Linked DNA regions of Rhinolophus ferrumequinum. The main gene of each other region encodes a partner of the protein of the gene in region 4 in a complex. Links are inferred from orthologs where the notes say so. Each region holds a gene or a part of one and is shown on either strand. Other genes may lie near its edges.

Region 1 (7,659 bases), on a different chromosome or scaffold from region 4:
GTGTCCCTGGCCTCACCTTTCCTTGACCTCCCTATAGCTTAACAACGGAACATCCCCCTGATGGTAGAGCTCAGAATGACCCCTGTCCCACCCAGTTCCCTGTTTCATAAAATCACCCTGACACTTACCGTTAACACCCTTAGGCTTATTGACCACAATCTCTATGGTCTAGTATTCTTTCCAGGATACTCCCATCATTGTTCCTGGGTTGCTGACCTCACCAGAGAATCGCCTGGCCAGAGGGAAGGCTCCAAGCAGAACCCCCCACCCCAACCCCCATCACGTAGCTTAACGTCCAGATTTCCCTTGGATACCCCAAGCCAGTCGGAGGATGTTAAGGCAGTTTTTGGATGTGTTAACCCACTGCCTCTTCAGACCACGGGTGCTCTGATAATAAACACTCATTCTTATAGCCAACTCCTGTGTCAGTCTATTGGCTGAGCTGCACAGGCGGCACTCAGTTGGCCTCCCATTTGAAGCAAAGCCTGACTTGGCTGACTCTCTCCTGGGTCCCTAAAGTCAGTGTTTCTGCAGAAATGCCCTCACATGTCAAAGGGAAGGGAGCGGAGCACTCAAGCGGTGCCCTCAGTTGCGTGCATCCTTTGGGCACACTTCCTTTTTCACTGCCTCAAGCACAGAAAGCCCCAGCTGAGCCCAGGGCCCTTGCACATTCTGCTCTCTGCTGGAACCCTCTCTCCACCTTTCTCACCAGGCCAAAGGGACTTGAGTCAGCTGGGGGTGGGCAGGCCCTGGGCAGACCTCCCACTGCTCCCCTAACATCCATGGACCCCAAATCTGCTGTCATTCATTTTAAATGCTAGATAACAAACTCCCATCCAGGTCAATTTTGGACTCAGCTGCCGGAGTTGTGTGGCTGAGGTGGGTGTGTCCACAATCTGCTAATTACAAAAATACATGTAAGATGGAGCCCCGGCAGAGAGACAAAAACCCAACTTCCCTTGGGACCTAAAGAGCCAGGGGCAGAGCTTCCTGCGAGCTGTGGTCTAGGGAACTTTCCTAACCCCGCCATCTTCAGACCATCAGCAAGGCTTGTCAGTTTCTAGCTCCAAAGTGTGTCTTAAATCTGCCTGCTTCTCCCCAGTTTTCCAGCCACTACCTTAATGGAAGCTCCTTCCATCTTTTACCTGGATCGCCCCACTTCTCCTGTCCCCATGAGCCATTCTACAAAGCATCTGAAAGAATCGCCTTCATTCACAAAGTCACAGTGCTCCGCTGCCTAAGAATACTGTTGCTGCCCATTCATTGCAGGGTAAAATCTAACTCTGATTTGTGCAACAACGCACGGAGCCCCATGCCGCCGGGCTCTGCCCAGCTCTCACCAGCCTCAACTTGACCTGCTCTGCCCTCAGTTGTGTGGGTCCTCTGGGCGCACTTCTTTTTTCATTGCCTCAAACACAGCAAGCCCCTGGGCCTTTGCACATGCTGCTGGAACCCTCTCTCCACCTTTCTCACCAGGGCTAGCATCCCTGCAGGCCTCAGGCTGATGCTGGAAAGTTTTCCCCTTGACACCCTCTTCATGCTTGGTCCTCCCTCTCCACTGGCCCCTTCATTGTTTCTTTTATCTTTCAGTCAATTATATAAGCACAATTACATATGCATTTGTTGTTGGCCTCTTTTGTTCCAACTTGTCTCACCCACTAGGATACGTGTTCACAATAGAAAGGCCCCTCATCTGTCCTCCCTGCAGTCAAGGGGTGGTGCTCCGCTACCTTTGTGGAATGAATGAATGAATGAGTGAATGAACCCGTCTCATTCTCTGTAATTCAGAGGTGTCGGACCACATGTTAGAAACACAGCCAGGCGGGGCTTCCAGAGCTGAGCTCCAGCGGCCCTGGGGCTAACTCGACAGGTGACCTTGAATAACTCCCCCTGCTGCTCAGACGCAGTTTCCTGTCTTTTTCTTTTTAAATACCACTTCATTAAAGTAGGATTTCATGTGTACAACCTGATGAGTTTGGAGGTAAGTATACATCCGTGAAACCATCACCACCATAAACGCATCCATCACCTGCCAAACTTCCACTGTGTTGCCTAGTCTTGACTGTGAAGGAGGATATTGGCCAGGGGAGCAGTTTCCCTTTACTGTTGCATTTCTTGCCAAGAGCCTCATCCTTAGAAAAACTAAAAATTCCACTCATTTTATATTTCTGTTTTGTTTACTTAACAAATGGCCAAAAAGCTTCTGGAGCTGGAGCAGCTGCCGAGGAGCACACTGGGTGGCAGGCCCCAGACGGGGTGGCCTTATCTTAGGGAAACATTATCGTTGATCATTTCTCCTGCTCTCTAAAGGATAGCAATTCCAGGCACAGAGAACAACGCAAGCAATGCTTTACGGAGCACCCCGTGTACCAGATATTTGTCCCCACTTCCTTAAGCTTCCTCAGCCTCAGCACTGTTGGCATTTGGAGCTGCATCATTCCCTGTCGTGGGGGTGGCAGTGGACTGTCCTGCTCATTGTAGGATGTTTAGCAGCCTCTCTGGTCTCTACTCACTGGACGCCAACTGGACGCCTCCAGTTGTGACAACTCAAGATCTTTCCAGCCTCGGCCAGATGTGCCGTGGGGATAAAATCATGCCTGGGTGAGAACCATCACCTTACTTAATCTTCAGTCACACCTTGCAGAGGTGCAGTACGTTGCATCTTACCTATAAGGAAACTGAGGCTTAGCTAGGTTTCCTGCTGTGCCCAAGGTCACCTCTGCCGTCTCAGAGGCTGACTCTTTCCTCAGCACTGCGGGGAGTTTTTCCGGCTCACTCTGGGACACCTCCAAAGCTTTCAAGCCCTCCAAACCCCATAACTCCAGAGTCCATTTCTCAGCCCTCCTCACACACACTCATACCCACAGGTCCTCTGTCGGCAGTACCTGTACTTACTCTGTCCCGTGGCCCAGTATGCACACAGTGGAGGCACAATGGTCTGTGGGGCTCTGGAAAGCGCAGCCGGCTGGCTAGAGTGGAGCCAGCTTTTGCCACTGACCACAGCAGGGACCTGACTCCACCCCTCCCTGGCCCCGCCCCAGCCAGCCCTGCCCTGTCCTGTTGTAGCCGGCTTCCAGCCAACAATTAGGCTGTGGGCAAAGCCACCTGAGCTCTGACCAGGGCCACCCGCCCACTGCCCTGCAAGCCCCTGAAGGGGAGCAGAGTTGGCCACCCTAACATATGCCCCTTTGGGGATATTGATTATTCTAAGCTGGTTAATTTTAAGACATGGCAGTCTGGGGAGAAGCCTTGAAACCCACTTAGAAGTTCCCCTTTGTGAAAGGACATTTACACTTGGAACGTACCAGGCCTGATGGAGACGGCCTGGACTGAAACCTGCACAACGACCTGACCCCTGTTTCCTGTGCTTTTCCTGGTCACCGTTCCATAACTGACCCCCCTCCCAACCCCAACATTTTGTTTTGTCTTTAGCTGAAGGTGGTATTTAAGGTGGTGGCTTCAGACACCATTTGCCTGCAGTGGCACAGGAACTCCTGGGAGAAGAGGCTAGACAGGCAACCAGCTGCCAGCATTCCAGACACAGAGAAAGGGACACCCTCTGGCCGACCGCCCTTTCGCCAGGCTGATACCTTTGTTTCCTGCAGTCAATTTGCTGTAGATCTGGGGAGTGGCATATGAATTCAAGCTCCCCACAGGCCTACGTGCTTACTGTGTTCATGGACCCACCAGCCAGATTCTCGTGGAAATTAGAGGGGTCCAGAGAGTCTCACGATGACTGAAAAGAAGGGATCATTGGAACAACCCCCCGTTCTTGCGCCAGCAACTGAACTGAGGCTCAGAATGATGAAGGGATTTTTCAGAGTCCTGCATCAAAGCAGGGATAGAGTGGGGCTGAGTGTCCAAGCTTCCGACTTCAAGGTCAGTGCTCTTTGCTTAAAAAAGGGCTAAGATCTCTGTGGGGTCAGCTCGACTGTCCTTTTCTACCTTGAAAGTGGAGCTCCTGAACTCAGCCCCACACTTTCAAGAGTATTTCCACGATGCTGATGCCGACTCAACCCTTCATTCCTAGGGACTTCCTAATACTGGGGTGCACTGTGTGTAGCCATGATCCAGAAGGTTGTGGGGGTGCAAGTGGGGTGTGCAGTTGGCAGAGGAGACAGAGGACCAGGCATTTCCCAAGGGAAAGGCTCTTGATGCTCAGCAACACAGGGTCTCTCTACAACCTCTGAGACAGTTCCCTTTCTTTCTCCATGATTTTAGGGTCTGTTTATGGCCCATTTTCTCTTTGAATGCTTACAACAATGCTACAAAGGGGATCCTCAGCACTGCCTCAGTCTAGAAACAAACACAGTCCCTACCAGGTATTGAGTGCCTGCTTTGTGTTCACGAGGCCCTGGAAGGTGGGTACTAGCATCCGCACCAAGTCAGTGAGAAGGTGGAAGCTGAGAGTGGTTAGGTAATCAGCCCAACCACTCTAGGTAATCAGCACACAGCTAATGAGGAAAGGCACTAGCAAGGGGGTAGCTGGGTCCCTTCTGCCTAGGTTTTGCTTTGTTGCTATTGTGCCATGTGACATAAGCAAGAATCCTTTATCTCATAACGTAGAGATTCCTAAACTATGTTCTATACCAGGGGTGTCCAAACTTTTTTCAACATTTTTCACCAAGGGCCATATGCGGTAGAATACACAAACAGCCGGGCCACTCACTCGAGGTGAAGTACGTATTGCCTCACCTGGTTTATTTAAGTAAACTAAATATAGTTTTGGAATTTGCTGCGGGCCAATTAACAATGGATTGCGGACCAAAGTTGGCCCGTGGGCCGCAGTTTGGACACCCCTGTTCTATAGGATGGAAATCATTATTACACACCTGTGGTAGAATGGAGACTAGCCCCCACCCCCAAGATGGCCATGTCCTGATATCTGAAACCTGTGAATGCTACTTTATACGACAAAAGGCACTTTGCAGATATAACTAAGTTAAGATCTTGGGGATTATCACAGATTACTCAGGTGGGTCCTAAATGTGATCACAAGCATCCTTATAAGAGAGCGGTGGGAGGTCAGAGCCAGAAGGAAGCAATGTGGTCATGGAAACAGGAGAACAGACAATGTGATGTGAAGCCATGGCCAACGAATGCCTGAAGAAAGCCCTGTCAACTTCTTGATGGTGGCTCTGTGAGACCTATTTTGACTTGTGGCCTCCAGAACTGTAAGAAAATAAATCTGTGTTGTTTGAAGCCACTAACTTCATCATAATTTGTTGCAGCAGCAACAGGAAACCAGAACAATAGCCCAGAATATGTCCCAGCTGAAATACTTGGGGAAGATGGGAGTAACCAAGATACTAAAAGGCTTCTCCAGTCTGTGTGTGCTATTCGTGTCTCCAAGCTTGCATTTTAAGGAATGTCTCAAATTTGGGGGGATGTCTGTAGCAACCCCTGACTCCACATTGCTACTCAGAAAGGGTTCTGAAGGAATGGGGGTGGAGGATGGGTAAATTTTGAAGGGAGAGGTTTGAGGGCTTCTTAGAACATGATGCCCTCGTGCTTTAGTCTGCTAGAGCTGCCATAACAAACTACCACAGACTGGGTGGCTTGTTGAACAAACTCACAAAGAGTCTGGAGGCTTTGGCTAGAAATAAGTGATAAATAATTTTTCAAGGGATTTAGGATTTGCAAACTATAAACGAACACAACTAGGCAATATCCAGAGTGTTCTGAAGAAGAAAGAAAAGCTAAGAGTTCTTATAGAAAAAATTATGTTCTTGAGATGAATCTGTCCTCCACAATGAGCCTCTGGATTGGTCCCAGATGGTCATCCTCCAGAGGACCAGTGGTCTGGGAACTGGATGTCAGGTGGTCTGGGTACTAGATGTCAGGTGGTCTGGGTACTGGATGTCAGGTGGTCTGGGTACTGGATGTCAGGTGGTCTGGGTACTGGATGTCAGGTGGTCTGGGTACTAGATGTCAGGTGGTCTGGGTACTGGATGTCAGGTGGTCTGGGTACTGGATGTCAGGTGGTCTGGGTACTAGATGTCAGGTGTTCTGGGTACTGGATGTTAGGTGGTCTGGGTACTAGATGTCAGGTGGTCTGGGTACTGGATGTCAGGTGGTCTGGGTACTGGATGTCAGGTGGTCTGGGTACTAGATGTCAGTCAGACTGAATACTGGATGTCAGGTGGTCTGGGTACTAGATGTCAGGTGGTCTGGGTACTGGATGTCAGGTGGTCTGGGTACTAGATGTCAGTCAGACTGAATACTGGATGTCAGGTGGTCTGGGTACTGGATGTCAGGTGGTCTGGGTACTAGATGTCAGGTGGTCTGGGTACTAGATGTCAGTCAGACTGAATACTGGATGTCAGGTGGTCTGGGTACTAGATGTCAGGTGGTCTTGGTACTAGATGTCAGGTGGTCTGGGTACTGGATGTCAGGTGGTCTTGATAACTGAGCATTCTTTCCTTAGCCCTTTAGGGAGTCTTCAGAGGGTTATCTGGAGGTCTGATCTATGTCCAGGCACGAATACAGGACTGGAAAGTTCAGATGTTTTTAAGTTCCCAGGCTAGTTAAAAAAAAAAAGAATAGAATCAGTTCCTCATATCTCAATCTACCTGATTTTGGTAATTTGGCAGCTTGACAATAATGTCTCTCTTCAGTCTTTTCTTCAGACTTAGCCAGAGGAATTTATTTCTCATAGTTCTAGAGGCTAGAAGTCCAAGATTAAGGTGATGTCAGCGTTGGTTTCTGGTGAGATCTGTCTTCCTGGGCTATAGATGGACTCTTCTTGCTGTGTCCTCATATGGCCTTTTGTGCACACGGGAAGAGGTGGGGGAGGGGGAGAGAGAGAGAGAGATCGAGCTCTGGGGTCTCGTCCTCTTCTAAGGACACCAGTCCTATGGGATTAGGGCCCCACCCTTATAACCTCATTTAACTTTATTTATTTCCCTAAAGTCCCTGTATCCAAATATAATCTCATTAGGGTTTGGGCTTCAACATATGAATTTTGGGGGGACACAATTCAGTCCATCACAATGGGGATGAGAGCACGGGATGGGCCAGGGGTCAGAATATTAAATGGACCAGATGGGTCATAATCGATTTATTTTTCCACTGATATGAAGAAAAACAAAGCGCACCATCCCCGTAGTGATACATTAGGTGGGATTATCGCTATTTTATAGGTGAGGGAACTGAGGCACAGAGCGGCAGCCCATGGCATCATAATGAAGTTCTAACCCTCAGTGCCTCAGAAGGTGACTTTATTTGGAAACGGGGTCACCGCTGATGTAATTAGTTAAGATGAGGCCGTTGTAGAGAAGGGTGGGCCCTAATCCAGTATGACTGCTGTCCTTATAAAAGGGGAAATCTGGACACAGACACACACTCTGGGAGAACGCCATGTGAGAGGAAGGCAGAGGAGCACTGAAGACTGCCAGCCACACCAGGAGCTGGGGGAGAGCCTGGGGCAGGGGGTCCCTCCCCGTCTCAGAAGGAACCTGTCCTGCCCACTCCGTGATCTTGGACTTCCGGCCTCCAGAGCTGTGAGACATAAATTTCTGCTTGTTATTGTTAAGACAGCCCTAAGAAACTAACACACTCAGTAACTGGTGGTGTTCACATTCGAACTCGGGCATTCTGGCTCTAAAACCCAAGTTCTATACTCAGTTCTCTGAGGCCTCTTGATGTCTCTGGAAGTAC
Region 2 (6,607 bases), on a different chromosome or scaffold from region 4:
CCAGTACCTTCTCCCTGCTGCCCTGAGTGTGGAAACTCCAGACCATGGCACGGTCGAACAGACTCAGATTTGGGGTCCCAGGGTGGAAACTGTCATGCAGGGACTCAGCTCCCGCTCCCCACACAAGAACGCAGGATATGGTGAGGCCAAAAAGGAACACCCACGGAGCCATGGGTGGGGGAGTCATACCACTATATTCTCGCTGGCAGCTGGTCGAGACACAAAAGCAAACATCTGCCAGTACCCCAACAAGGGATCTTCCTGTACCCCAGGCTTGCTGGCGGCCGGGCAAGACACAGGAAGTAGGATCCACACGATCCGCAACCCACCATCCGCAATCTGCCGTCCACTTCTCTGCCAACCAACCAACCCCTAGCCTAGCAACGGCAGTTATATCAGTGGCTAATGGCTGACCAGTCACAGCTGTTGACCATCTACTACGCGAGCCAGCACCTTTCCATGTGAAGCCGAGAGCCTGGAAACTGCTGTCCTGTCTCTGTCCCCACACTCCACCCCTATAGGGTCTCGCCTCACAATCTACGGGACAAGTGTCTTCCGCCAGGGGCCCCGTGTCAGGAACCCAACTCATGAGAAAAAGTTTCAGTCTAGTTCAAGTAATGTCCCAGGGGGTGTCCCTCGATGTCCACCTACTTCTAGGCACAGCCAGGGTTTCTCAGGGCACTGTGCTGGAACAATATGGGCTCACAGCTGAGGTACTTACATATTCTCCACGGTGGCTGGTAGAGACACAGGAAGTAAACATCTGCCTGCACCCCACCAAGGGGTCTTCCTGCACTAGTCTCGCTGGTGGCCGGGAGAGACCGCTGATGTAGGATCCACACGATCCACAATCCATCCGCAATAAACCGTCCGCTTCTCTGCCAACCAACTAACCAACCCCCTTGCGTACCACGGCAGTTATATTAGTGGCTAATGACTAACCGGTAACAGCTGATGGCCACCCAGCCACAGTGGATGGCCATCTGATCACAGCTGATGGCCATCTAATAACTGGCCAGCACCTTTCCACGTGAGGCCGAGAGCCAGGAAACTGCTTTCTGGGACTCTGCCCCACAGAAGCTCAGGGCATCTGGGGTTTGGAGGGCTGGACTTCAAGTCTTGGCACCCAGCAAGATGGGATCACAGCCCCCTCCTTTTGAGTCAGTCCAGTGGGTTAACGTCCTGCTCACAGAGGCCCAGCCTGGGCACAAAGGGAGTTGGAGGCACATGTGGGAGCTCATCTGGCTTCAAAATACAACATAATGACAACACAGTTCCCACAAAGACGGCTACCTGAGAAGAGTTGCTTTGGAAGGACTTGGGTTTGTCCACTCCGAGACCCCCACCTTCCACTGAGGACAGTGAGGTGCGGGAGAGGTGGTAAGGGAGGGCCTCCGGGGTTCCTGCCGGGGCTGGAGGCTGAGGAAACCCAGGACTGCCTCGCTGCTGAGTCGGGCCTATTTGCCTTTTTTTATCACCATTTAAGAAAAGTTTTAAATTATGGTAAAATACACACAAAATTTACCATGTTAACCATTTTTAACAGCACAGCTCAGCGGCGTTAAGTCCATTCACATCGTTGGGCAACCATCACACCATCCACCTCCAGAACTTGTTCATCTTCCCAAACTGACACTGATCCCATGAAACACTAACTCCCCCTTTTCCTCCCCCAGCCCCTGGCACCACCGTCTGTCTACTTTCTGTCTATGAATCTGACTCCTCTAGGGACCTCATATAAGTGGGATCACACAGTATTTGTCCTTTTGTGTCTGGCTTATTTCACTCAGCATCATGTCCTCGAGGTTCATCCATGTGGCATGCATCAGAATTCCCTTTCTTTTTTTTTAATAACCACTTTTTTTTTTTAAGGGGAACAGGACTTTATTGGGGAACAGTGTGTACTTCCAGGACTTTTTCCAAGTCAAGTTGTTGTCCTTTCAATCTTAGTTGTGGAGGACACACCTCAGCTCCAGGTCCAGTTTCAGTTGCCAGTTGCAGGGGGCGCAGCCCACCATCCCTTGAGGGAGTCGAACCGGCAACGTTGTGGTTGAGAGGACGCCCTCCAACCAACTGAGCCATCCTGGAGCTCAGCGGCAGCTCAGCTCAAGGAGCCGTGTTCAATCTTAGTTGCAGGGGGCGGAGCCCACCATCCCTTGTGGGAGTCGAGGAATCGAACTGGCAACCTTGTGGTTGAGAGCCCACGCTCCAACCAACTGAGCCATCTGGCACTAGCCCATGTGGGAATTGAACCGACCGCCTTCGGCTTTAGGAGCACGGAGCTCCAACCGCTTGAGCCACCGGGCTGGTCCTCCCTTTCTTTTTCTTTTTTTTTTTTTTTTTTTGGTGCCGAAACCGGGGACTCCCTTTCTTTTTAAAGCTACCTTTCTGCCTTTTTTAAACACAAGCTTTCATGGAAAGGGACACACATACAGAAAATTTCAATTGTACAAAGAAGCATACAGAGAAAAGTAAGGGACCAAGTCCTTCTCCCCAAAGGCAGCTGCCCGAGGGTCCCCCAGGAGGTGCCTCTACATGGCTTGTCTTCCAGTTGGGACAGGACAGCGGCCTGCACCTCCATCTGCCTTGTCTGGGATCCCTCCCTCCTGCTCACACTGGATTGTCTTCGTGAAGGGGACACCCTCTGCCCTGTGCTGCCGGGAATATCCCTGTACAGATGCCATCCTGCAAGGTGTGTGTCATAAATTCCTGGACTCAGAACCCCTGAGTTAAACTGCCCTCCTTGGGGGACCCCAGTCTGCCCTGGCCCAGTGTCTCCAGCCCCCCGTTCCCCTGCACAGGTTTCCCTGGAGGGTGGCAGAGGGTCCCCATCCCAGTTTTCCTGCACTGAGGGCATCACCAGTCATGTGGTGCCCAGAGATATGGGCATGGGACTGAATTTGTCACTGGTACCAGTGGAAACTGCTCAGAAATGGGGGACAGCCTCCTGGCTGAGACAGGACAGCCTCCTGCCTCAGCGGCAGTGCTCTAGGCCTTGGTCCCCACCCCCCACCCTGGGGCTGAGGGCAGGGACCTCAGCATCTCAGCCTCCAGCCCCACTGTCTAGGCTGCTCAGTCACTTCCTGCGGGGCCCGGAGTGTGTGACTAGATTAGGGCTTGTTGTTCCAAGACACACCATATCTGATCCCTTTTCCCACCCCTGTGCTTTTTTTCTTCCTTGACCCCCCACCGTCCCCTGGGGGCCCTCCTGCTCCCAGACATGCCCCCTGCCACCATGGCCCAAGGATGACTGCACAGGGTCGAGAACCTCCAGTGAGGGGCTCCCCCAGGGCAGTGAGAGTGGAGGCCTCTCTGGGGCCTGCAGGGGCATGAATGAGGGGGGAGACTGAGTGCAGGGGAGAGGTGTACCCTCCCCTCTGAGCCTCAGTTTCTTCATCTGCACAGTGGACCCCATCTGAGTGCAGAAATGTGGAGGGGCCAGAGAAAGGAGGGCTCCCGGGAGGGTGGGCAGAGGATCCTCTGTGCTGGCCGCCTCCCTTGGGCTCAGATATGGTTATGACCACCCTCCCCGTCACACCTGGGACCCCAAGCTGAGGTGGGGCCAGGAGAGGAACAGAAGGAACTTCCAGAACCAGCCAGATGGACACCTCCCAGAGGAGACTGCAGCCAGGATCCCTTCAGACCCCCAGGGCAGTACATGGTCAGCGTCAGAGGCTCCAGCCAACCAGTGACACCTCCTTGGCCATCCCCAGCAGACCCCAGACTCACAAGGTGCCTTCCCCTCTCCACACTTCACTTTGTACCTGCCCAGGGGCAGCCCCCACAGAAAACCTGGGGTGCTTGGGTGTGTGTGTAGGGGTGTGGGGGTGCTGGTTCACCTGCTCTGACCTCTGACCTGGAAGGCAGGGCTCTCCTCTTGCCTGCTAGAGACGGAGGTGGGAGAGGCTTCGGGAAAGGCCAAGAGCCCCTGACGGGGAATGTGACCTGGAAGGCTGTGCTGTCATGGGAACTGCGACTGGCCAGCAGGAAGTAACCACTTGGACCACAGAGGTTTCCTGAGCTGGACAGGGGCCGGTGGAGGTGCTGCAGCCTAGGACGTCCTCCCCCATCTTACTGGCCCAACACTTGGACACCGTGAAGCACCTCTGCCAAAGTGGTGCCAGCCAGCAGGCCACCTTAGGTCATCCGTGGGCCACCCATAGGCTGGCTGGAGGCAGGGGCTGGTTTATCTCACCAGGCCGTGTCTGCTAGCCCTCTCTGCCCTCTGCCTGTGCTCAGGAAGCTGGGGGCGGGGGGTCTAGCAAACGGGAAGCCGGAGTTCAGTCCGCCGCGGCCTAGAGCAGCCGGCACGGAGCTCCATCCAACAGCATGTGGGTACTCCTACTGCTGTGTCCCCTGGCCCTGGGGTTCAGCCTGGAGGGTGGCGCTCAGACCCCCAGCATCTACGACGAGGGCGGGAGCACAGGGAGCGGAGATGGTGAGTGACTCCAGGCGCTGCCTGGGGCTGTGCAGGCGGGTATCAGAGATGGGCAGGACGCAGAACTGGGGTCCCACCAGCCCAGTCCTGAAGCCAAGGGACTGTGTCAAGCTCTGTCCCAACAGCCTGGAGGTTCCTGAGTTGGGGCCTGGACTGCAGCCCCTGGGGGCGTCAGTGGGGAGGGCAGCACCATCTCACTGGAGGTACTGGCTGAAGGGCAGGAAGGGGGGTGATGCCTGGGTTCTCAGTGCCTCCATCCTCCTTCCCTCCCCCAGATGGCACCCTGGGACCTTGGACCAGGCTCCAGGCAGCGACCCCTTGCCCACCTCAACCACGCAGCTTCCCTGGCTGGCACTGCGCCAACAACAGCGACACTCTGGAGCTCTGGGACAACTCTCGGGCACTGCTGCTGGGCTGGGTGCCCACAAGGCTGGTGCCCGCACTCTATGGGCTGGTCCTGGTCGTCGGGCTGCCCGCCAACAGCCTGGCACTGTGGGTCCTGGCCACGCGGGTGCCTCGGCTGCCGTCTACAGTGCTGCTCATGAACCTGGCAGCCGCCGACCTGCTACTAGCCCTGGCCCTGCCACCCCGCATCGCCTACCACCTGCGGGGCCAGCGCTGGCCCTTTGGCGAGGCCGCCTGCCGCCTGGACATGGCCGCGCTCTATGGCCACATGTACTGCTCCGTGCTGCTGCTGGCGGCCATCAGCCTGGACCGCTACCTGGCTCTGGTGCACCCACTGCGGGCCCGCGCCCTGAGAGGCCAGCGCCTGGCCACTGGGCTCTGCACTGCAGCCTGGCTGGTAGCAGTCACCCTCGTGCTGCCCCTGGGGCTGCAGCAGCAAACCTTCCGGCTGTCGCGCTCGGACCACGTGGTCTGCCATGACGTGCTGCCCGTGGGCACCCAGGCCTCCCACTGGCGCCCCGCCTTCCTCTGCCTGGCTGTGCTCGGCTGCTTCCTGCCCCTGCTGGCCATGCTGTTCTGCTACGGGGCCACTCTGCGTGCGCTGGCGGCTAGTGGCCGGCGCTACAGGCACGCGCTAAGGTTGACCTCACTGGTGCTCGCCTCGGCCGTGGCTTTCTTCGTGCCCAGCAACGTGCTGCTGCTGCTGCACTACTCAGACCCAGACCTGGACGCCTGGAGGCACCTGTACGCCGCCTACGTGCCCAGCCTGGCACTCAGCACCCTCAACAGTTGCGTGGACCCTTTCGTCTACTACTACGTATCAGCTGAGTTCAGGGACAAAGTGCGGGAGGTGGTACTGCGCCGGGTGCAGGGAGCCACCAAGACCTCCAGAGAGAGGGGCAGCCCGGGCACAGGCACCCGGTCCTCGTCACTTGTGACCGGCCCTCAGGAGGCAGGGCAACAGAGAGGGGTTGTACTGGGTTAACGAGGGTGCCCCCCAAGTTCATGTCCACCAGGAACCTCTGATGAGCTTGTTCATTAGGATATAGGGTCTTTGCAGGTGTAATGAGTATGAGGTCATATTGGGGTATGAACCCCTCATGACTGATGCGAGATACACACAGAGAAGGCCATGACTACGGAGGCAGCGATCAGGGTGAGTGGGCCACAGGCCAGAACACAAAGGGCTGCCGGCAGCCACCGGAAACCAGAGAGCATCCTCCGAGGGACTCTCCCGCAGGCTCTGCAGGAGCCAGTCCTGCCCACAGCCTGATCTCAGCCCAGCCTCCAGAACTGAGACAATAAATTTCTGTTGTTTAAGTCACCTGGCTTGTGGTACTTGGTGACAGAAACCCAGGAAACCATGACAGGGGTAAATGCAGATTCCCGGGCTCAGCCGGCTCTCTCGTGTCCAAGGTGGGGATGAGAGGAGGCTGAAGCCACCCTAGACCAGCTGGAGGTCCCTACCGAGGAAGCTTAGGCCCCCCACCCCCTGGTGGCTCAAGAGTCTGGGAGCCTAACTGGTGGTCCTTGTTCTCAGAAGCCCAGCTTCTGGCTCCAGGACAGGCGTCAGGGTACAGGGCGTCTCCTGAGCAAGCAATGCGGAGACCCCCACTCTGTTCCCCAAAGCCTTGCGGAACTCATCATTGGGAGCAACGGGGCTTAGTCTCCTGCTAGCTCTTGGCTGCAAGATGTCACTTCTTCCCCTTAACCTGACATCTGATTTTTCTCATTTGATGTTGACTCCCCTCCCCCAGGACCTGA
Region 3 (7,588 bases), on a different chromosome or scaffold from region 4:
AACCAACCACCTAGTAAACTGGAAGCCGGGGAGAGTTACAGGCAACTCTGGTTTCTGTGTTAGATGTTTTGCCAAATTTCCATGGAAGTTAAGCTCTGAGTTACACAGTAACCACAGCAGGAGCTCAGCTCTGCTGTTTGCACCCCACCCAGGTCTTACTCTTGGATCCAAAGGAAAGAACAGAGTAGCCCGGATGTGAGGCAGTGGCAAGGACCAGCTGAATAACCTGCTCCTGGGGGCTGCAGCTGAGACTGGAGGCAGGGCTAGGGAGAGGGGGATTCTTGTTCTAGTACTGACCTCGACGTGTTAAAAAAGAGACAGGGTGATTGGATGCTATGTTCTTTCCTCTTCGTGGCTCCCCACACCTACCCTTAACACAGCAAAGCAAAGAGCTGTCCTGCCAGCTTCCACTCAGATGTGGGGAAGCCTTTTCAAAAACTACTATGTACTTGGTAAAAGTTCCGAAGTCTGCCTCCGCTTCCAGAAAGGGTTACCAGTTTCTATGACTTTGATTTAAACATACTTTTATATATTAAATATTTACAATGATTAAAACACTTTACAGAAGACTAATGACAGTGTGTGTGTGTGTGGGGGGGAAGACAGATGACTAGATAGATAGGTAGATAGGGAGTCACCCAGAGCCCTGCATACACGCTCTTTTCCTTTCCTCATCAAACCAACTAAGACGAATCAAGGGGAAGGGGACTCAGGTCATCAAAATCTAGACAGAGACAGGCAAGAACAGTTGTGAGCAGTGAGAACCAGAGACGAGGCTGGTGTGAAGGACCCCAGAAGAACAACTCAGAAGCACATTCGGAATGTGCATCAGAGAATGTTTTCTACTAAAATATGAGTAACCAAAGAAAAAGGTGGCAGTTCCTGGATTCATTTCTAGGCCCTGGATTTTGAGGGAATCATGGAAAAACTGGAAGAGACTATCCAGATGGTGGCATGTCATAAACCCTGCCCCAAGAAAAACAATTGGACAGGGAAGACATGGATGTTTTCTTCACAGCCATCACGTAGGAGCCCAAGACCTGTGACACAGGCAGACAAGGATTTGCATCTCAGCTTTGCCAGCTTTGTAATTTGGGGCAAGTTCTTAACCCTTGTGAACAGCCGTTTTCTCATCTCTAAACTGAGCAGAATAGCATCTTCCTGGTAGAGCTGACAAGAGAGTTATATAAGCTAATGCCTGTACAGCACTTAGCATGGATCCTGGCATGCAGTAAGTTAAAAAAACAAAAACAAAAAACATATATACATATGTGCGTGTGTCTCTGTATATGGGTTTATGTCCATTAGCTTGTTTATTTTCTGTTTCACTCACTAGAATATTTGCTACATAAAGGCAGGGACCACATGAAATTTACCATCCTATTCTCGGTGTCTAGAACAGACCTTGGCATATCAGGGTTCCATAAACATTGCTAACTAAATTAATTAATCTAAGTAGATCAAATGGCACTTGGGTTGTCAGACAGTAGACTTCCCTTTAATATTATGTGCTACTCAGAAGCTACTAGTTAATAATGGAAAAAAGAAACATCGCAGCATTTTTGTAGTATTTGGGTACCAGCTAACTTCTATACAACCATAGCCGTAGTCAAATTTATGTTCACGTCACAGTCTAATGAGGGCCTTCTGGGAGTACAGTCATTTAGCCACCAAGTTTGATGATGGATAAATTCTCCATGTTCTTCCAAGTCCTGAAGTCGTCTATCCTGAACATGGAGACAGAGCTTGGAGGACTGTAGGGGCCATTTTAGGAGACTCTGCTGGAAATGGCATACATCATGGCCACCAACACCCCATTGCCCAGAATGTAATCCTGTGTCCCCACCTAACTGTAGGGGAGGCTGGAAAGGAGAATTCAGCTGTGTTCCCAGGAGGAAATGTAACCATATGAACTCTATCACAGTAAACCCATGAATGATCTTTAATCCTTAAAAATCCCTGAGAGATCAATACTCTGTCCCCATTCAGAAATTTTAAAAATGTGACCCTGAGGGAGGTGCTGCACAACCAAGATCGCATAGCTAACGAGTATGTGACAAAGCCAGGGCTTCGGCTGGTGCCGTGACTTTCCCTGCCATTCTGGGATCAGAGCACCAATCGTTCTGATGAGGCGGACTTCCTCGTGATTTTGTCTCTGCTTACACATCAATGAAGAGTGCATATAGACCTTGGACTTAAATCTCTTTTAATGCCTTTGTTAACATACTGTGATTTTTCTGAATAGTTCAGTCCTAATCACTGTCTCCTCTGATCTTACCAATCAGTATTTTAAAATATAACAAAACTCTTTTTCACATGATATTTTATAGAATTCTGTAATAACTGTGTTCTTTTGTATATAAACATATATGTATAGTAAGAGCTTAAAATGGCACCTGTTATCATATTCAAAGATTTAAAGAATTTGACCTAAGCTAATAGAGGGAATAGTTAAATTATAGGCAATGGAGTATTATATTGCCATTAGAAAGTTTTTGCCAGGCAGGACACAGCTAAGCAGCTCTATTCCGCCTTCGGACACTGAACTGGGCTGGTCTCACTCACCTTTTCTCCTTTGTCACCAGCCAGGGGCTCAGCCTGCTTCTCATTCCTCTCTGGTGCTGCCTCCACCTCCGACATGCCCTGGAAGTCCCCTCTCCCCAGGCCTCTGAGGAATACAACACTGATCCCCTTCTGCTCATAAAGTCACGGCCTTTTTGAGGAGGGGGTAAATACATTGACATGTTCAAAAGTAGAAAATGGAATAAGGAGGTTCATATTGGCAAGTCTTCCTCCCACTCTGAGTGCCCACCCCTCAGCCCCACCATTCCCACTTTGTGATACAAAAGGTGACATACTAGAGACACTGCTCAGCAGCTTGCCTTTCCCCCATGAGTTATCCTGAAGCCCTTCCCTGGCAGCACACAGAGAGGAAACTCATCCTTTCTGACCAGGGCTCAGTTTTCCAGTGGGCGAGGTACCTTGGCTTATTGAACTGGTCTCCTGTAGATGTTGTTTCTAATCTTTTGCTGTCACAAATCAGGTTACAGCTGGTGATCGCATGCATACCCGCGCAGGTATCTGTAGGAGACATTCCTGAGGTGGGACTTCCAGCGCAAAGGGTAAATTCACTTGCAATGTTGGTACTGCCAGATTTCCCTTCGAAGGGTCATGGAGCATTCTGCAGCCCTGCAGCGATTCATCAGGGAGGCCTTTGCTACCACCCTTTCTAAAATGGTAACCTCCCCACCTTCCCCCATCACTTTCTATCCCCTTGCCCTGTTGTATGTTTCCCCATGGCCTCTATTAATACTGATTCATACACTGATTCTTTATGTGATCGTTGCATGTCTCCTCTGACTGGGGTCCCCAGCCCCTAGAACAATGCCCAGGTATTTACTGGACACAAGTGGTTGGACGGGAGAATTTTCAATTGTCTTTAATCTGGAGTGACAAGGAGCCTCTAGCATCCTCGGGTCCTTTAGGACAGGTCCTTGTAACTGTTCGCACTGCACATGGGAGTCCGTAAGGTGTCCAGGCTCTAAATCAGCCAAGAACTTACACACAGCTTCAGTCCAGATAGAGATTTCCTGTTTCGTGATTAGAGAACTCTCGAGAATTCCTATGACTGTACCAACTTCAAAGAGTCTCCACACAGAAAGTGCAGACGTACCCTGTGAACTATTGTAGCAATCCTGGTGATACTGTTTTTGGCTCTTTAGGAAGAGGAAAATATAAATAAATGGGCCCTTTATGTACATTAGTTTGAATTCATTTCACCTCCCCAATAACTAAAATAAGTAAAAAAAACAATGCACGCAAAAAAGGTAATTCGGTTTGTTTGCTTTCAAAGAGGTATTGCAGCAGTTGTATGATTTTACCGGCCCCACACACGGCCTCCTGACCCCCAGTCGAATTGTGTTAAGTGCCTCCCAACCAGCTCATCCACCTTAGAAATATCGCTGGCATGCACCCCAAGGATACTTGTGCTCTTGTGGCTCCTCCCGTCACTTCAGGGCTGAGCGGGGAAGGGCTCCATCTGCGGACCACAGGTGTAACCATCGTGTGTCCTGGTCTGGGTCACAGATGTGTTGACTCTTAGAAGCCTGAAAATAGCACTTTGTTCCAGAAAAATCCTCTTCTTCCCGCTCTGATTAGATACTATGGACTCTCTATCGCTTCTCCTAAAGAAACCTGTGAAAGAAAGGGTATTGCACTGAGCAGGTGGAAGGCTAGAACGTTCCAGACACTCAACTTGGCAAGTTATGTTCACCTATTTTCTACTCTGGGTTTGGGTAACCAGGAAAAAAAAAAATCCTGCACAGTTCTCCTCAGTCAGGCACTTTCTGACCTAATTTGAGTTTGTGAACACATTCTCCTTTTCCTTTTCTATGATAAAGATAAGGAAGAGATAGAGGGAGTACAGGTAAGAAAGGTGGGCCTTGCTTTCCCTGGGCCTGACTGAACTTTAAAACTTCTCTACTAATCAAACAACATGGGGCTCCACACTTTGCTTAACCCTGGGGCTGGTCATCAGCCTTTGACCTCAGTCCTCCCCTCCTCCCCTGCCTCTCCCCCACCTTCGCCTCTGGAACCTCAGTTAGATTGGGAGGAAAGAGCCAGTTTCCAGAGCGACTGCCTCAGACCACAGTGCCCAGCCCCGTGGAGGATTAGCAGCCATGTTTTCCAATGGGATAGGAACTGTAGCTGCTGGAAAAAGGTAAGAGGGGTGAGCTTCCCCTTTCCGTGCCCTCAGTGGGTCTTCTGACCTCTGAAGGACTCAGGAAGGTGACCTTGACACCTTCGAGGAGACCAAGCCCTCTCCCTGGTGGTTACAATCAAAGAACTTGTTTGGAGACGTCATTCCCAGCGCCCTCCCTCTCACCCGCCTTGGGGTCAGGCCTTTCCCTAAGCCACACCTTGGGTTCTTAGCTCAAGAAACGGGACGTCTTTCTTCCCTGTGTGAAGACACCACGCCAGCCCTCACAGTCCAGGAGACCCTCCAAGGGGAACTCCGGGGCTTGGTCTACATCTGAAATGAGGGCCAATTTTAAACTGTGAGGACCCCCTGACACCCTGTTTGCTCCTCCTTCCCCTCGGTTGCCCCCCACCTCCCACCCCAAGATCTCGGTGACCTGTGACTGACGAAAGGACTGCAGCCCTCTTCTCCCTCAACACGCCACCCATCACCTTGGTCTGGCTAGCTGTAGGAAGCTACAAGTGAGGCTAGGGCTCGGTCACCTTGGTTTTGCTTTGTGCTTAACAGAGCTCCCAGGGCCCTCTACTTGTATTTCCAAATGTAGCTGAGGGACAAGATGGGAAAGAGTAGGCAGCAAGAGGGAGACATGAATGACAAGATTCTGTCTCTGCTTCTTCACGCCGCCTTCCACAGCTCCCTCGGTGCCTCCACTTCTCTCCCACTCGAGGCCTGTGTTCTTCAAACGGCTACAGAGTTGGCTTCAGCTCACACACGAAGCCAAGTCCCCCAGCTCCCGCCAGCGAGTCCCACACTGGCCCAGCAGGCCTCCTCAGCTAATCCTTTCTGCACTGCATGCCTGTCTTTTTCTGCCAGGGGAAGACTGAGAAGGCTTGCTCCTCACACACACACTCCCTTCCCTAGACGGAGGGACCCACGTCAGCCACAGGAAGCCCCTGCCCCCAATCCCCGCACCCGTCTTAGCTACGGAATACCACAAGTGTTTTCTCTCTTGGTTTGCTTACTTGGGTGTCACAATTCTCCTAATTTACCAATCTCATGATCTCATTTTTTAAAAAGTGAAATTAGTTTCATTTACTTTTAGTGAACCCATGCTGGAAGCTATTACAATTTCCAGGCCACAGAAAAGGATGAGGCCTGAACTAAGGCAGTGAGAGGGCAAGGAAACAGAATCGATCAAATCTAGGGTCTGACTAAATGAGGTGAGGGAGGAAGCAGGGTGCATGAGGGGCCCATCTGCTGAGTTGGAGGACATGGAAAGAGAAACAGGTATGTGGGGAAATTGGCAAGTTCAGCTTGGCCGTATTTCATTAAGGAATGTGTAGGACGTCCAGGTGGAATTGTGCAGCCAACAATCAGTCTGGAGCTCAGCGGAAGGCTGGGGCTGGAGCTACTGTTATGAGGTCCTCCCCACACAGATAGCACCTCTGCCCCATTCATTCCTTCTCACCCCTCTTGTATCTGAAATCTCTCCGCAGTATCAATCGAAATCCTTCCAACCCGAACACCCAGGGTAAAGTCCATCCATTTCTGAGGCCTCCCTAGGCAGCTCTGTAAACAGCTCCTCCTACAACCCTCACTCTTCACTGGGCACTGTTTTTCATGTGCGCACATCCCATGTCACAGCTGGAGGCTTTGCATTCTTTCTCCCAGCATGGGGCGTCAGGCACACATACTTGAATAAGCATCAGTTGCTTCAATAGTTGATTCTAATTTCGACATGACTATGTCCAGGCAAATGGAACTATCCACTGACTAGGAATCCAGGACTGGACTCATCCTGGGCTCTGTACAAAGTACTAGGTCACACCGGGTGGGCTGGCATCCTAAGCTTTCCTAGGCCAAGTCTGGGCTGGGCAGTGGGGATAGGGGGTCTCCCAGCCTAGCTTAACTCAGCTTTTTGTCCCCCTATAGGAGGGTATGTCTTCTTTCCTTGCTGCTCATTGGTCTCTGGGGCTGTGTGACCTGTCACTGGAGCCCCATAGAGGACATCTGCACTGCCAAGCCTCGGGACATTCCTGTGAATCCCATGTGCATTTACCGCTCCTCAGAGAAAAAGGCAACTGAGGACGAGGGCTCAGACCAGAAAATCCCTGAGGCCACCAACCGGCGGGTCTGGGAACTGTCCAAGGCCAATTCCAACTTTGCCACCACCTTCTATCAGCACCTGGCAGACTCCAAGAATGACAATGACAACATTTTCTTGTCACCCTTGAGCATCTCCACAGCTTTTGCAATGACCAAGCTGGGTGCCTGTAACAACACCCTCAAACAGCTGATGGAGGTACAGTCCACAGTCCTTCTGCCCAGCGTCCTTACTATGTATGGGCCTGGAGCCCTTTAGAGACCTTAGGTCATATCCCAGTCTCCTTGTGTTTCTTTTTCCCTTTCTCCTTCCTACCCTTTATTCTTTTATCCATGTATTCATTTAGAAAGCATGAGCAGAACATTTATGATGTGCCAGTCACTGTACTTGAAGGAGGTCACACCAGAGGTGGCACTCGGTCTGGGGCTGACTGCACCGTGCTCACCACATTAGCCCGGATGCCCCACCAGACCCACCAGCATTTTCTTTTGGCTTCTACAGGTTTTCAAATTTGATACCATCTCCGAGAAAACATCTGATCAGATCCACTTTTTCTTTGCCAAACTGAACTGCCGACTCTATCGAAAAGCCAACAAATCCTCCCAGTTGGTATCAGCCAACCGCCTTTTTGGAGACAAATCCCTTACCTTCAATGAGACCTACCAGGACATCAGTGAGGTGGTGTATGGAGCCAAGCTCCAGCCCCTGGACTTCAAGGTGAGTTGCAGACGTCATCCCTGACCTCAGAATTCTTCCTTTCCACTTAGAGATTGAGGAGCTAGAGA
Region 4 (7,563 bases):
TCATACCCAGACCTTCAGCACAGTTACCTGCAGAGACCCCAGTCCGTCCCCCCCCTTTGTCTTAGCAAAGCTCCATCTACCCCTTCCAAACTCCTTCTGGCTCACAACTCTTAACCTGCACTTACTCAGCACCTCCTCTGCATTCAGCAGTACTCCAATCCATTTAACAGTAGTCACCAAATATTTACTGTGACACAGGGACAGGCGCAGTGCCAGGTACTAAGGACATAGTGATGAATAAGACAGTCATGATTAAAGTAGGTCCCTGCCCTCATGGAGCTTATATTCAGTGGGTCCTCATGGCCAGCAGGATGAAAAAGTGAACAAGGCCTAACCTGACCCTGGTCTACCTATCCTGTCAGCTTAGCGCCTCGTGCCTCAGGGCCTTTGCACATGCTATTTTCTTTGCCTGGGAATGCTCTCCTGTTTGTCCATCAATGTATCTCACAAATCCGGGTAAAACTCTGCTGCTTCTGGGGAGCTGTCCCTGATTCTGTCAGCAAACTAAAGGCTCTTTCTCCTGGCATTCTCTTGGTACCTGGAACAGAATGTTTCCTGCAATTACATTGATGTTTTATGGTTTTGTTTTCCTATGAAATTGTGAGCTTCTTGATTCTCTCAAAACATCCAGCACTTGACAAAGTGCCTGGCACCTAGCAGGGGCGTAGTGAAATGTCTGTTAATAAGTGATTTAACAAATGAAAGTATGGCCAGTGATTAAAGAGTTCATGTTGTGGGGTCCATCGTCACACTAACAGTGTATTCAGAAGGCTCAGCAAGGTGGTGCCATTTGAACTAGACCTTGAAGGACAGGGAGATTTTCAGTAGGAAGATGACAATGTAAGGAAGATCCAGGAAGTAGGACCATCTTCGCATGTTCGGAGAAGAGCTTGCTGTCAGAGTAGCTGGGGTCTGGGTTCACGGTTGGTGCAATGGAAGATAACGCTAGAAGGGGAGGTTAAGGCCAGAACCTGCAATGTTTGCCAGTCTAAGAAGCTGGTGCTTTATGCTGGAGGCACGGGGCAGCCACTCAAGGTTTTGGAGAATGAATGTGACATATTCGGAGCTCTGCCCTGGAGACATGGGGAAGACTGGCATGGACAGGGCTTCAGATGAGAATGAGGCCTTGAACATTAATTCATTATCCATTCATTCATTTGTTCCTTCAACATTAATCATCTTACCAGAGCTAGGTGCAAAATAGCCTTGACAGCAGAACAGAAAGGCAGAATCAGAAGCTGGGGGCTGCCGCCGCTGGGCAACCTGCTGACCCACACGCCTCTGCTTTCCTCCCAGGCAGTCCCCTTCATATCCTGACCTCCCACCCCCACATTGATTCCTCACCTTCCAGACATTCAACGAGCTTTTCTCGAGGTTTCCTCACCGACTCACAAGCTGGAAAAGACCCAGAAACACATTTGGAGTTGGGGTAAGGACAAGGTGGGCTCAAGTAAAGGGTGGGATGACATTCAGAAACAGAGAGATGGACAGACAGATGGAAGGGACGGAGGGAGGGTGTGAGGGAGGGAAGAGGCAGGGGTGGGGGTGGATGATTGGATGGACCATAGAGTAGTACATTCTCTAAGTGGGGTCCCCAGGACTTTCTTCCTGAAGCAGACCCTTCCCAGTGCTCACCTGTGTACTTGGCCCAGAAGGCATCCTGAAAAGCAAGGGCTGAGCATGAGGCTATGGCAGGATGCTGTTGTGTTTTGGTTTTTAGTAAACATTATGTCTTCTCCTTATACTTTTCTCTTTCCCTTACCCTGGTCACTCTGGGAAGGTTTGTGGCAGTTTCCTGCTTTTGTTTCCAACTGCCCCGGCCCACTAAAGAGAGGAGAGCTTTCCCACCCGCACCCAAGTCTGAAAGGGATTCCCCTGGGTGGGGTAGACTAGAGAAGAGAGGGCATGGGGTGCTGGCCGTGGGGTTCAGGCAGAGCCCCAAGGAAGGGAAAGGTTGCAGGGTTCCCGGAACAGAGAGGCCTAGGCCCAGGGCTCCCAGCCCCACCAGAGCCCCACGCCCCAAGATCGCAGAGACTTAGCAGAAAAGCTGAAGCAGAGAGGCCACGGGGGCAGAGGCTCCAGAGATCTTGAAGTAGACAGATGTCTGAAGCCTGAGAGGCCTCCCGATGTCCTGGAGCCTCATCAGCCCCCAAGACCAGACATCTGGACCTCCAAGGTCCACAGGTTGTTCACCTTGGCAGCCAGTGAAATGGGGCCCAGAGATAGAATGAGGTTAAAGAGCTGGGATGCTCCTCGCTCCCCTCACTTGTGCTCCTAGAGTTGGGCCCACTGGGAGGGATCCCGGCCCTCGTCCGAGCAGCCTGGCCCTCCCTCCCTCACCGTGGCACTGGTCGACTCCAGCGCCTCGAAAGCCTCCTCGTAGCTGCACTGCTCCTCTATGCACTCTCGCTCCAGGTTGCCCCTGCGCATTTCCTCCAGGAAGCCACTGTTGGCGCGTCGGACCCGCTGGAGCAGCGACATTGCTTGCTGAGGGTCCAGGAACACTGCAGTAGGAGGGGCATGGGACAGTGGCCTGAGGCAGCCTGGCTGTCTTGGCCATCGTGGGGGCAGGAAGCAAGCCTGGCCTGGCCTGCTGGCTTCTGAAAAGGGGTGTCTGGGATGGCGGCAGGACCTGAAAGGCTGCTAATGGTAGCCCACTAGCTCCCCTCCTTTCATGGGTCACCCCAGTCCACTCCCCATATGGCAAGAGAGAAGTCGTCACTGTCTGGCCAGATCTGAGCACTGGACTCCTTCCCTAAGCTGGATACTGTGGCTGAGGCCCACCTGGGGCTGGCTCTGTGCTCTCTATCGAGCCAGGGGACCTCAGCCATGGGCCCGTATCCCAGTCTGCCAGCCTATCCCAGCTTCCAAGCCCCCCTTACCATGCTGGCTGTGCACAAGGCTAAACAGGGCAGCCAAGGCCAGGCAGCCAGGTAGCCACGGGCCTCGGACGTGCGCCATAGTGTGTCGGCTTGGGACGCAGAGGGCTCATCCTGACCTCTCAGGTTAATGTTAAACTACTATGAAGAAACCAGCTGAGAGGAAGTGGTCAGCAGGTCAGGGCCATGGGGACAAGTGAATAGATACTGTGTTTCCCCGAAAATAAGACCTAGCTGGGCCATCAGCTCTAATGCATCTTTTGGAGCGAAAATTAATATAAGACCTGGTATTATTATATTATGCTATACTATATATTATATTATATTACATTATATTACATTATTATTATAGACGAGGTTTTATATTATAGTAAAATAAGACCGGGTCTTACATTAATTTTTGCTCCAAAAGACGCATTAGAGCTGATTGTCCAGCTAGGTCTTATTTTCTGGGAAACAGGGTAATCCACCCGCCATTTGGGAGCACAGGTCCTCCTAGGACCAGAGATGGATGGTCTGGGAGGAAGTCCCAAAGGAAAGACCAATGTAACCACCATCATCCAGCCCCCACTTCCCTGAACATGTGCCAACTGCGGCCAGTGGGTTCACAAGGTCTCTGCAATTCCTTCCAATCCTAACATATGGTGACGGTTGCTTTAATCCCTGTGTGCCTCAGTTTCCTTATCTGTACATGGGAAGAGTACTTTGATGGGAAGATTAAAGGAGATTGTGAATGGAAAGCCCATGAAAGTGCTTACTAATCAGTAGGTACATGGATGTAAACCAACAGGGAGGTTTGTGTGATTCCCACAAACAGATACAAGAGAGACAAGGGTGAAGTCAGCAAAGCGCTGCCCACCTTGCCCTAGGACACACTTGGGGCAGGGACAGCCAACATTTGCTCTCAGCCTCTCAGCCACGGAAGGAAGGTCCCATTTTCCCTGCCTCCCACCTGGGGAGCTGTGGAGGAGTGTTTGTGTGCAGGGGTGCCCGGGAGGAGGAGTCAGGGCCAGGCCTCCTAGGCTTCTGTTCTGCTTCCTCTCATCTCCTAGAACCTATTGCCTGGCTTCTGGAAACAGGGGCCAACCCAGTTCCCAGGGTCTCACGGTGGGGCCCTTCCTGCTCCCCCTGTAGGCCTGGCCAGCCTACAGCACCTGGTGGTCCCACACTGCCCCTTGCCCAGCCCTGCTCCCGCCCCTCCCCCACTTCCTGTTTACAGTACACAAGGTAAATATTAGTCCTAGGTCTAAGTAGGACAGAGGGACAAAGAGCAGAAACACAGATTCTTACCTGGCTGTCCTTCGGGACTGACCGTTCAGGGTCTGGACTGCGGTTCTGTACAGTCTGGGAAGATCACAGGGAGGGCTCTTCCCAATGCAGAGAACTGGGGACCAGGACTCCCACGAATCAGCTTAATTCCTGGGTTGCCCAGTTCCTACATTTAGATTTATATATATTTATGTTATATATTTCTTTTCTTTTCTTTTTTAAGGTGAGATTTAACGTATATACCATAATGTTAAAACAAATCCTAAGTGTTTAACTCAAATTTTCATGCGCACACCCATGGAACCATCACCAGATTGAGAGAGAACATTTCCGGCCCCCAACTGCCTCCTTTGCGTCATCCCTAAGAGAACCTCTATTCTAACCACCATCACCGCAGACCCGTTCTGCCTGTTTTTGAACTCCATCTAATGGAAACCTGCAGGATATACCTGTTTGTGTCTGCCTTCTCTCGCTCAGCACGTTTCTGAGATTCATCCACGCTGCGTGTAGCAGTCCTTCCTTTAAAAGCTGCGTCGTCTCTCATTGGATGACTATGGAACATCTTATTTCCATTCACCTGTTGATTGGGCACTGGGATCAGTTTCCAGTTTGGGGCTATTGTGAAGAGTGCTATGAACAATCACGTACAAGTCTTCTGGGACTGATAAGCACTTGTTTCTGTCGGCTCCAGGCCCAGGAGTGGCTTTGCTGGCTCATACAGCAGGCATATGTTTCGGCTAAGTTGCTGTGACAAATAATTGTTTCAAGTGGCTGTGCTAGTTTACAGTGTCAACAGCAACGTCTGCGGGTTCCAGCTGCTCATATCCTCACCAACACCTTACATTATCCAGCCATTTCGTATTAACCATTCTGACGGACATGTAGGTGTCTCATCGTGGTTTTAATCTGTATCCCTGTTCCTAATGACATTGAGCCTATCCCCCCTCCCTTTTTTTAACTAGAATGGTGAAAAGATCTCACCTCACTAATTTCTTTAAAAATTCCATGTTGAGTAAAGAAAGGGAGAGGGCTCCTGAGAAGTGGAGAGAAGAGAGGTGTGGTTTCATCCTTCCTGTCTGGAGGTAAGTGGTCCTTCTTTTTCTGAGGACCAGCTTGGGCCACTGCTGACTCAACCTGGAGAGGGAGAACAGGTAAGGGGCAGGTGTGGGAGGAGTGTGGGGTGTTAGCAGGGAGAAGGACAAAACACGTAACACATGGCACCTCTTCTACTGAGGGTTTGGGGGCCCGGGGGGTTGCCCCCTTGTTTCCTCACTGTCAGAAATCCCCAATCCTGACAGACCAGCACCACAGCACGGAAGACATTACTAGTTTGGGAGGCCAGTCCTTGGTCTCACCATCTGTAAAACCAGAATTATACCAATGTTCACTTGCAGCTAAGTAAGATCATGCTGGACTCTTTGCTGACTCTTATTTGGAGTGGCAGCTTCGCCAAGGCCACGTGTAGACATGGCCATTAACGGTCAACTTGTTGGGCCACGTCTTCTTCAAGCTATTTGCAGACAATGTTCCAAAGCAGAATCCTTCAGTTCTCTGAGCGCTGGGAAGATGAGATTCGGTTATAAGGGTTCCTGCTTTCCTAGACTTATTTCTGGGTTTACCTGTCAGGGTGATGAATTTACACACCATAATAGTATCGGCAGCAAGTCTATCTAGGGGGAGAACTTCATTTTGAAGAATATGCGTCTTGCCATCTCATTCATGACAAATGCTGGACCCAACCCAAATGGCTCCCAGTGTGTCATCTGCACGGTGAAGACTGATGGGTTGGATGGCAAGCAGGAGTTCTGGCCAGGAGAGAGACGGCATGCATATTGTAGAAGCGAAGGGGCGCTTTGGATCCAGGAATGGCAAGACCAGCAAGAAGACTCGAGGCCACTCTCAGTTTGATTTTGTTTTTATCTTATCTCCAACGATTCCTTTTGTTCCTGAGAATAACTCCAGCTCTCACATCCTGTAATCTTTGTGTTCTTGCTTGCTGCAATTCTTTGGATTCCATCCTTATCTCCCTCCAGGTCTAGATGGATTCAGAGTTAAGTTTATCATTATTAAATAAAAACTAAACCAGTCCTCTTCTCTGCTCTGGGAATAGCTCTCCTGCCACAGCCCCTCATCCCCTGAAAATGTGCGCCTGCGCAGGGCTTGTCTCCACCCCCTGGTCAGGAGCACCAATCAGCTGCCGAGCCAGCCAGTCACTGTCTGTAGTGGTGTTGAAACGGCCTGAGACACTGACAGATGAGAGCCTCAGCAGCTTGGCAGCCCCACATATTCTGACCGCACTTATTTCTAGCCGCAGCCTCCAAACAGGCGCCATTTCAAAGGACATCAACACAGTAGCCAAGTGCATTGGGGCTGGGGCTGAGGCTGGAATTGGGACCGTGTTTGGGAGCCTCATCACTCGTTATGCCAGGAACCCTTCTTTAAAGCAACAGCTCTTCTCCTACGCCATTCTTGGCTTTGCCCTCTGAGGCCCTGCAGCTCTTTTGCCTGATGGTGGCCTTTCTCATCCTTACTATGAGAAGGAGCCGTCTCCACCTCCCATAGTTCTTTCTCCCGTCTCATCTGCCCTGTATGTTCCTTTTCCTATACTTCCCCAGGCAGCCTGGGGAAAAGTGGTAGGCTCAGGGTTTGACCGAGGAAAGACAAATAAATACTGCATTAGAAAAACAAAAAAACTAAACTACTTACCCCCCAAATAAATCATGTTTGTGAAGTATGACAATGCTTGCCACATGGTAAGCACTAAATAAACAGCACTGTTATGTGATATGATAATAAAACTGGAAATACACAATGCTGGCTATGAAGGGTTCTTCCTAAACTAGCGAACCTGGATCAAATCAAAGCTTTGTTTTAATTACTAGTTTACAGGAAATATAGATGATAAAAGAATAAGACCACCACATCGTGGTGAAATGAGGGACACTTGACATGACAAATAACTCCAGTTTCTCTGACAAATTTATGACATGGAAATAAAAGGGGTGGATGAAAGAGACTGTTCAGAATAATAGAAACCTAAGAGAAATCTAAAAACCAAATGCACAAAGGAAATCGAATTACCATCATTGGTTTAGTTTTTTGAATAAAAAAATAAAAAATTAAAAAATTAAAAAAAAAGACTTTTTTTGACAAACAAAAAAGTTTGAATATAGATTTGGATCTCAGTAATAGGAAAGCATTATTGTTAATATAGTTAAGTATTATTTGACACATGGCTATATTTTTTTAAATTCTCATGAGTTATAGATTATACTGAAGAATTTATAACAAACAGATGAAACAAGTATGGCAAGTATTAAGTAGATTCTACTTAGATAGCCTCCATGTTTTCTTGGGTGAATACTCTACTTTGCAGAGGATTGTGGGAGAGCATCCCTTCTGTGAGTGGCTCTAG

What was found.
Region 1: the proteins of F2 (region 4) and SERPINA5 are in contact, whole or in part, in a crystal structure (PDB 3B9F), measured with the Homo sapiens proteins. The link is inferred for Rhinolophus ferrumequinum from reciprocal best matches to the Homo sapiens genes F2 and SERPINA5. Residues at the interface, in NP_000497.1 of Homo sapiens: Arg383, Pro386, Glu388, Leu389, Leu390, Cys391, His406, Cys407, Tyr410, Pro412, Trp413, Asp414, Lys415, Trp455, Glu457, Asn458, Leu459, Asn506, Arg541, Ile542, Asp562, Ala563, Cys564, Glu565, Gly566, Asp567, Val588, Ser589, Trp590, Gly591; in NP_000615.3 of Homo sapiens: Gln241, Lys295, Lys296, Arg297, Thr368, Ile369, Phe370, Thr371, Phe372, Arg373, Ser374, Ala375, Arg376, Leu377, Asn378.
Region 2: the proteins of F2 (region 4) and F2RL3 are in contact, whole or in part, in a crystal structure (PDB 2PV9), measured with the Mus musculus proteins. The link is inferred for Rhinolophus ferrumequinum from reciprocal best matches to the Homo sapiens genes F2 and F2RL3. Residues at the interface, in NP_034298.1 of Mus musculus: Glu385, Leu386, Leu387, Cys388, His403, Tyr407, Trp410, Asp411, Arg428, Arg453, Glu454, Asn455, Leu456, Trp501, Gly502, Asn503, Trp508, Thr510, Gln516, Arg538, Ile539, Asp559, Ala560, Cys561, Glu562, Gly563, Asp564, Val585, Ser586, Trp587; in NP_032001.2 of Mus musculus: Asp54, Lys55, Pro56, Asn57, Pro58, Arg59, Gly60, Tyr61, Pro62, Gly63, Lys64, Cys66, Asn68, Asp69, Ser70.
Region 3: the proteins of F2 (region 4) and SERPINC1 are in contact, whole or in part, in a crystal structure (PDB 1TB6), measured with the Homo sapiens proteins. The link is inferred for Rhinolophus ferrumequinum from reciprocal best matches to the Homo sapiens genes F2 and SERPINC1. Residues at the interface, in NP_000497.1 of Homo sapiens: Leu389, Leu390, Cys391, His406, Cys407, Tyr410, Pro412, Trp413, Asp414, Lys415, Trp455, Arg456, Glu457, Asn458, Leu459, Asn506, Thr510, Trp511, Thr512, Ala513, Asn514, Val515, Gln519, Arg541, Ile542, Asp562, Ala563, Cys564, Glu565, Gly566; in NP_000479.1 of Homo sapiens: Lys258, Glu264, Asn265, Arg267, Tyr285, Glu287, Gly288, Lys289, Glu345, Met347, His351, Ala419, Val420, Val421, Ile422, Ala423, Gly424, Arg425, Ser426, Leu427, Asn428, Pro429, Asn430, Arg431, Val432, Lys435.

The regions. Positions count from the first base shown.
Region 1 is NC_046289.1:8,631,041-8,638,699, forward strand, and holds the start of SERPINA5 (plasma serine protease inhibitor), read right to left. Parts: upstream 3,015-7,659; 5' UTR 2,896-3,014; exon of another isoform or gene 2,886-2,895; intron 1-2,885. UniProt on the Homo sapiens protein: Heparin-dependent serine protease inhibitor acting in body fluids and secretions. Inactivates serine proteases by binding irreversibly to their serine activation site. Involved in the regulation of intravascular and extravascular proteolytic activities.
Region 2 is NC_046301.1:50,264,265-50,270,871, forward strand, and holds F2RL3 (proteinase-activated receptor 4), read left to right. Parts: upstream 1-4,137; 5' UTR 4,138-4,329; coding exon 4,330-4,438; intron 4,439-4,713; coding exon 4,714-5,828; 3' UTR 5,829-6,103; downstream 6,104-6,607. UniProt on the Homo sapiens protein: Receptor for activated thrombin or trypsin coupled to G proteins that stimulate phosphoinositide hydrolysis. May play a role in platelets activation.
Region 3 is NC_046305.1:8,763,021-8,770,608, reverse strand, and holds the start of SERPINC1 (antithrombin-III), read left to right. Parts: upstream 1-4,575; 5' UTR 4,576-4,679; coding exon 4,680-4,720; intron 4,721-6,631; coding exon 6,632-7,001; intron 7,002-7,304; coding exon 7,305-7,520; intron 7,521-7,588. UniProt on the Homo sapiens protein: Most important serine protease inhibitor in plasma that regulates the blood coagulation cascade. AT-III inhibits thrombin, matriptase-3/TMPRSS7, as well as factors IXa, Xa and XIa. Its inhibitory activity is greatly enhanced in the presence of heparin.
Region 4 is NC_046294.1:14,304,416-14,311,978, forward strand, and holds the start of F2 (prothrombin), read right to left. Parts: upstream 3,005-7,563; 5' UTR 2,962-3,004; coding exon 2,883-2,961; intron 2,505-2,882; coding exon 2,341-2,504; intron 1,661-2,340; coding exon 1,636-1,660; intron 1,396-1,635; coding exon 1,345-1,395; intron 28-1,344; coding exon 1-27. Other genes in the region: ATP synthase F(0) complex subunit C2, mitochondrial-like, read left to right, coding at 6,290-6,634. UniProt on the Homo sapiens protein: Thrombin, which cleaves bonds after Arg and Lys, converts fibrinogen to fibrin and activates factors V, VII, VIII, XIII, and, in complex with thrombomodulin, protein C. Functions in blood homeostasis, inflammation and wound healing.